2 linked regions of the Mytilus edulis genome follow. The protein of the gene in region 1 binds, or shares a complex with, the protein of each later gene. Links are inferred from orthologs where the notes say so. Each region holds a gene or a part of one and is shown in the gene's direction. Other genes may lie near its edges. The genes, in order: protein lin-9 homolog and histone-binding protein RBBP4.

Region 1 (3,937 bases):
ACGAATCCATAGTATACTGAGGTATTGAGAGTAACTATAGTAAGATATAGTAAGTGTCAAAAAGGATTCATTCGGAACGGATTCATTCGGAACGAATTGCATTACTGCAATATAGACTTGTGTCAATAGAAATTTCAATATGCTAACAATATTCGATATTTTCAGGAATAGTATACAACTGAATCCAGAAATTTTCATTCGATATTTTCAGGAATAGTATACAACTGAATCCAGAAATTTTCATAAGGGGGCCCACTGATTGCCTAGGAGGGGCCCGCTACAGCCATGCCTCAATGATTCCTTATATAATCAACTATGTTTTTCTTCAAATCAGCCGCCTCTGCTACTGCACATCAATAGTAAATAAGACATGTATTGGTGTCAATGTTAACCAATCTTAACCTTTTATTAAAATGAAAATTAAAAAAAAACCTTGATGAATAAAACAGCTTGCTTGCGTTCTGTCTGTCATGATTTTTTATAAATTGCCATGTACGTAATCGTTTTAAAAAAAATCGCTGCGTTCTTAATTATTATGTATGGGTTTACTTATATGAGAATTTTTTTCATATTCCTCAACCTGATAGACAATTACTGAAAGCCTTTTACTGTGTTTATTACCAACATGAATAATTGCCTTTTAGAAATAATGAAAATAGCTAACAATCACCTAGCTTCTAATAATGTGTGTGCGGAACATGGACTTTTAAACTTATCATTCTAATGCTTTTAAAGTTCAAGGGTGAATATAATAGTAAACCACATTCAAGTTATTTTAGCAGTTTTAACAGTTTGACAGAGGCGTATATTACAATTATATTATTATTGTATGGTATGTCTCTGATTTTATTCAGGTTTATCGATGACAGTTTACAGTATGGAAAGTCAGTCTCTGGAATGATATTGCTTTGCGATCCAATCTAAGACTACTAGTCTATAACACATGTGTTATAGTAGTCGCAGGATCCAATATCGAACATAAAGTGGTAGAAGATCTGCCGACTCTGATTAAAATAAATAATTAAAAAATATATTCAAAGAGGGCATGTCGCGTCGATGAAGGCGAGGGCCGAAAAAATTGTCTGTGACTTTGAGTTTAACTAATCAGAAGTCTTTTTGCGCGGGAAATTTGAGTTAGCTCCCCTTTTTAAATTCAAAAAGAGGCGCGACCCAAACATGGCGGATGATTCAGAAAGTGAGTTAAAATGGAACAAAGTTTAAATAGGATTTAGCAAATGTCACAAATAAAACCAACAAACCATGCATATAATAAATGTCCATTTGCATAATAATCTTAAAATTGGTTCAGAGGGTACAAATAAACACTAATTATAATCTGAACAGGAAAATCATACCATTTTTTTTTCAACAACGTAAAACTAAAAATGTTTTTTTTACGTCCAATGCACCAGACGATCATTGAATAAATTTATGGTTACTCCCTTAGTAAAATTTCACAAGTTTTGTTATAGCTACAATGTTGAAAGATTCTCTGGACGATAGCTGTGTACACTATAAACGTATTTACACTTAGGTATTTAGCTGAGTTTTGTCTTCAAATGCCCTTAGATCGCCTCCGAATCACATTTTGACGTCAAGCAACAATAACTTTTGTATTGTGATGTCAAAGTTTTTGAATTTTTATGTCAAAGTTTACGGGAACCTGTGTGATTCTACGTTTGTAATAGCGGACAAACTTGCATACAAGTGTAAATACATCTATTGCCGTCACCATACACCTTATCGCTAATCCTGGCTGACCCGAGAGTGTGTGCTGCTTGTCACTTTTCTATTGTGGCGTCAGTTATTTTGTATTATGACGTCAAAATTTTACGGGAACCTGTGTGATGTCCAGTAATGGTGGACAAATAGTGATAAGGTGTGTTACTCAGTATGACAATAATGCCATTAGTCATACATCTTGGTGATATTTTGGAAATCTGTCCTGCTTGAATTTTTTACGCCATACAACAATCGTCAAAATTCATGGGGAACTTTTTTGATGTCCAATAATGGCGGACAAATATCAATAAGATGTATCATTGCATTGAGGACCCTATCAGAATCATCAGTATCACTATTGCTGTATTGGGAAACTGCAACACTTGAACTTATGATGTCATTCAACAATCACTTTTCCTTTGTGGTTTCAAACATTTATACAGGAAACTGTGATGTCCAGTACTAATGGGGACAAAAACTGATTAGGTGTATCACAGACTGATATGTTAAGCAGTAGCTGATAACGCCTGTCTAGTACAAATATTATCAGACTAGTGCAGATGCACTGATGATTGCCTTGGGTCATTTTTGGCTACGGTTAAGGTCAAAGTAGTAAAAAAACTAAAAACATTATTGTGATTTGCCACAGATCTCAAATAGTTAGGTAGTAATGCATGGTGTTCAGTAGCAAAATATCTTACATGTACATGGTAAAATCTGTTGAACACCTAATAGCAACAACATGAACAATGTTTCTACATATAAATTATTATTTTAAGGCAGTATTTTCAAATTTTAATACTTATGTAAATATGATTTTGTTTTACAGATAGAGGAAATGCATACAGATCTCCAATGAAAAGAGTAAGTTTTACATATTGTGCACAAGTTTAACATTTATTTTGATTAAAAGTACATCGTTGACACCAAGATTTGACTTGCTTGCTATCAGATTTGCAATGGTATACATGTACTATTCATGAAAATATGGATTTCTTTTGGTATATACATATATATATAGAAATTTCTATTAATACAAGCATGATCAGTGGTATGACAAAGGGTTATCTTTAAATTTTCTTTACATTTACTTCCTGGAGAAAAATCATGCAAACAAAAAATGTTTATGGTAACTTTGAGAAATTTATAGGTCAACATAAGGTCTTTAACAATAGACAATAAAATTGAGAATGGAAATGGGGAATGTGCCAAAGAGACAACAACCTGACCATAGAAAAAAACAACAGCAGAAGGTCACCAACAGGTCTTCAATGTAGCGAGAAATTCCCGCACCCGGAGGCGTCCTTCAGCTGGCCCCTAAACAAATATATATACTAGTTCAGTGATAATGAACGCCATACTAATTTCCAAATTGTACACAAGAAACTAAAATTAAAATAATACAAGACTAACAAAGGCCAGAAGCTCCTGACTTAGGACTGGCGCAAAAATGCGGTGGGGTTAAACATGTTTGTGAGATCTCAACCCTCCCCCTATACCTCTAGCCAATGTAGAAAAGAAAAGTCTCTTTACAATAAGCTTTTCAATTGCTAGAAGTCTAGAATAGATGTGGATAAAGTTAACAGAAACAATAAATAAGTTAATAAGGTCAAAGAGGACTCATGATTTTTCATGCTAACAGATGTGAAGGTTTTATTGCCATTGGTGTTTTAAGAGCATAATAACATTTTAATGTAAGTGAAATGTGTGTATATTTTCTTTTTCTAGACATCAAGGATCAGGAAAAAGAATCAAAGATTTTACAATGATGATGAAGACACAACATACTCTCCCGCTAAGTCACCAAGGAAACAACCCAGAACTATTGCTGTCAGTATAATAATTAGTCCAATTTATTCACCGAAGACTATTAAATTCATGCAAAACATCATTTATGATGTAAAAAATTGTAAATAATTATATACATATAAATACAGTATGCTATGTAATAATAAAGAAGTGTAAACTTTTAATACCATCTGCCCTAAATTAGACAGCAGGGATCTCCATGGCCTGTTTAACGATGGCGCCCCGCCATCGTTCAAATGTCTTGCTCCATCGTTAAATTGTTTCCGCCATCGTTAAATTGTCTTCCGCCATCGTTCAAAACTTCATCGTTTTTTGCAGCCCGACACCATTTTTTTATCAATTATAATCAAATGCATGTAATTGCATAACCCTTAGGCTTTTTATGTTATATCCAATACAGTTCTAA
Region 2 (3,937 bases), on another chromosome or scaffold:
TTTTTACCGCAATTATGGAATAGTGCTGTTGATATTTTTAAAGATCGATACTAATTTTTAAAGAATACATCTATCGGTTAGGGGTATAAATGTGATACCAGTGTATACATAAAGAAAGAGAGGAATTTTAAAGTATGTGACATGACTTTTAATCAACACAGAAACATTGTAAATACAGGATAACGGAATTGTAATATAATTGTGTGTGGATAGGATCTCACTGTGTATATAGTCTCAGCACTTCAAAGCATTTGGTGGAGGCATCACTGTATATTAGAAAGCCACAAGTTATACATACTAGCGTATGGTTCCTCTACAAAGGGGGTTAAAGATACAGAGGTAAGGTAAGGTTTGTCACACAATCAGGCTAAAGCAAGTTTTTAGTTCTTAGCAACATCTTTATCTAAATGTATCAGCTAACATTTTATACTATTGTATATTTACTTGCAACAGTGCATCCTGTCCTAAACCAGATGACAGAAATAATTCAGATGCTTTTATCCCAGTTATCCTGCCAGTCCCATCAACATCACATAATTGAAACAACTCCCCATAATTTCGTTGTTCTTGCTGGCTTAGTTTGAGCCCTTCCATGCCAGAATAAACACATATATGTACTATGTCAAAATGTTAACAGTGTCAGTTGTCTACAATTAAGTAGATTTTGTGAAACAGACTTAGTCAGGAAGTTTTCAACGATTATCCACCATGTTGGAAATTTATTACAAGTGTGATACACACTTCACAAAATTAGAAATGAAATAATATTAATAGAATTTTTTTAAATAATGCAAAGTTTAGCATATTATATTCAGAGTACAAAACGATCATTTCGGAATTAATAGAAAATATAATTAAAAAATAATCTGTGGCGCATCAATTAAATATATTTCGATATTGTCTTTATTTACTTGGATTTCGAAATAAGCTATCTATATAATCATATTGAAATAAAGTTAAAATAATTACTTATCATATTACAATAGTTATCAGTAAAAACTGCTAGCTTCTTTAATTTATTTTTTTTACTATAGAAAATGAATCGCAGTAAATTATTAAAAATTTGGCGCCATTGATGCGCATGAGTCTTTGTGCCGAAAGATCAACAGAAAGAAAGAAAATGACAGAAAAAGACGGTGGTAAACATTGTCTGTCAGAAGCCTTAAATGAGCTATTTTTATTATACCTTTCATAAGCTGTTTACTTATTTCTGCTATTAAGTGAGACTGCAACTACCCTTGACACAAGGAAACAAACAAAAAAGGGGGAAATGACCGGCCGGTCTACAAAACATTAACAACCAATGGGAGGTGACCTTAAAGTCTCTGACAAGAGCTCTCGACAGTCATTTGTTTAGCTATAGAACTGTAGCTATCTGGACCTACCTTATATTCTTATAATTTTGGATGGAATGAATGTCCAGTGAATAGTATTGCACAATGTCAATGGCATGCATTCAAGAAATTGTTTGACAAATTGTGGTTCCCAGACTCCAAGCAATATTTGCACACATTTAAGCAGGCATTTTAATGTTGCAGAAAAGAATACAGAAAAGTTCTTTAACTTGAAAAGTGGGGGGGGGGGGGGTCATTATATTTGGATCAACTTTTGTAAAAGAGGGATCCCATTATTTTTCATAATACAGAAGATATAAGATAAGATATAAGTCCAGGAATAATTCAAAATTCTTGTTTATGTTTATTCTTGATAAAACTTTGAAGGCACTAAAATTTATATTTCTGTTATTTTCATTTTCATTTTAAAAATTTTGTTCCAGAATTTTTTTGTTTGTTAATAAATCAAATGATTATTAATTGGCAGTATTCTGTGCTTTGGCTCTTATCAAAACGAAATACAAATGAATTGATAACAGAAATTTATATATATCAGTGATGTCACTAAGTTTTGAAGAAGCAGGCTGAATTTCTAAAATAAGCGCAAGTACATGCGGACGGCAAAGCCGTTCGCGTCGACGAGCTTGCTCGTCGCTACTACGGCGGGGGGTCTGGGGCCCGCTCAAGGGCCCCAGGATTTTTTTTTAAAATGGTGCAAAATCCTGCATTCTGGGGGTGTCCTAGACCCTTATTCAGACCTCTGAAAACATCATTTTTTACTGAAGATAATGTAAATGATTAACTAAAATTAGCAACATGATGGGTAAATTTTCTGTACATGTGATCACATCATTGATCATCTTGATGGACCAATATACATTTTTGTGCATTTTCCTGCAGGTTGACTGCTAGTAAATATTTTTGAACTGAAAGAATCCAAAAATCTTAGTTTGAATAGAAACATATTGTCTCTGGTTTGAATTATCACTTGAATAATTTAGTTTTAAATGAAAATTGTAATTGTGACATTGAGAACATTATAAATGTTTTAATTTTATATTAAAAAAGTGTTGGTTTTGTTTTTACAAAATTAAAAACAATATTCACTGACTAGTAGGCAGCTGGAGCTTCGATTTCAAAGTTAAAACTGTTACAGAGGTGCTATATTTTATAAAATCGTATGCTATCCCAAGGACGTATAACTAACATAATATACGTCCTTGGCTATCCCCAAAAAGATTTGAAAATTTAGACTAAAATTCCTGCATTCTGAGCATACCTGAGAGTGATTTAGATGCTTGGAAAAATGTTAATTTTGTCTTATTTTTGTTGTTGACTTCAATCACATTGATTTTTTTTTTAAATGAGAATCCGTAGTCCTGGCAAGGCTAATCTATATTATATTTTTTTCTGGGAAGGTGTCTTTTGTAAGACAACTAAGGAAGTCTGTTCTTGAATATATGTAAATAATACACAGGCAAGTGCCTGTGAAATAATAGGTGAAATATTATAATTTTATTTCAAAAATAATCGAATTTATTAAATATCTTGATCGATTTATTTGCGTACGTACTTAGTGACAAATGACCCCCTTTTATCTCATATAAGACTTGTACACGTATTTCAAACATGTTGTCAAGCTATGTCGTTTTATTTTCTCTTATTTGTTAACTGTTCAGTAATCAGTAAACTAAAATCCTTTTGAACTATAAAAGATATTTTTAAAAATTATTTGTGGTCGACAATATTCTACTTTCGTTATTGACCTTCATTCTCTGGACACCACGTGGTCGTGGGCTTTGAAATGTGAACTTCAAAAAGTGCTGTTTTCCAGATTCTTGACAACATTATATATATTATACTTTCTTTTATTTGACTGATATATTAATTTCCATAACATGCTATTGTCATCTTTGGCTTATTCCTTCTCTTGAGCCTCTTGAAGCAAAAACCAAACAGGGTCATAATGTCCATCGGAACGTCTCTCTTTTTATCCTTGCAAACATTACAATACTTACCGACTTTAAATAGACGACCAATCAGCGGACTGCATTTACGTGAACTATATTTAGTCAAAGGTAAACACTGATTTACATCCTTGTTTATCGGACTTTAATCGTGGAAGCTGATGCATTGAACAATTATTTTTTAATATTAACCTGATTATCTTTTTTATCTTATTAATTTTTTTTACTCATGCAAAAATAGCCGGCGGGAAAAGCACAATAACCGGCGAAAATCGCCGGCTGCCGGCTTCTAACGACATCACTGTATATACAGGGGTAAAAAATTAACTTTTTGCATCCAGGACTGAACCTGCCAAAATATGAAAGAAACTGAGGAGTACTTGTATACATCTGAGGCCAAATAAAAATATAAGTGTGGTTCCAGTTACATCCTTTTAAAAAATAGGTTGGCAATTTTTTTTTTGGAAATTGATTCCGATATTATATAAGCCAAAACCGGAAGTTCGCCATTTTACATGTTCTAGTTGAAAAATAAACAGTAATGTTACTTTTTTAGTTAATTTTGATTCATTCTATTCTGAATTTGATGAATTTTAGCCAAAGTGGATACTTCTGATGGAAATGCAGATGATAGAA

The links.
Region 2: protein lin-9 homolog (region 1) and histone-binding protein RBBP4 share a complex: the UniProt entries of both Caenorhabditis elegans proteins name them as parts of the DRM complex. The link is inferred for Mytilus edulis from reciprocal best matches to the Caenorhabditis elegans genes lin-9 and lin-53.

Annotation. Positions count from the first base shown.
Region 1 is NC_092350.1:21,150,395-21,154,331, reverse strand, and holds the start of protein lin-9 homolog, read left to right. Parts: upstream 1-1,245; 5' UTR 1,246-1,260; coding exon 1,261-1,312; intron 1,313-2,551; coding exon 2,552-2,586; intron 2,587-3,450; coding exon 3,451-3,552; intron 3,553-3,937. UniProt on the Caenorhabditis elegans protein: Synthetic multivulva class B (synMuvB) protein. SynMuvB proteins are required to repress the induction of vulval development by Ras signaling and probably act by forming the multiprotein DRM complex that represses transcription.
Region 2 is NC_092353.1:79,520,938-79,524,874, forward strand, and holds the start of histone-binding protein RBBP4, read left to right. Parts: upstream 1-1,002; 5' UTR 1,003-1,075; coding exon 1,076-1,139; intron 1,140-3,937. Other genes in the region: ralBP1-associated Eps domain-containing protein 1-like, read right to left, coding at 445-594. UniProt on the Caenorhabditis elegans protein: Core histone-binding subunit that may target chromatin assembly factors, chromatin remodeling factors and histone deacetylases to their histone substrates in a manner that is regulated by nucleosomal DNA.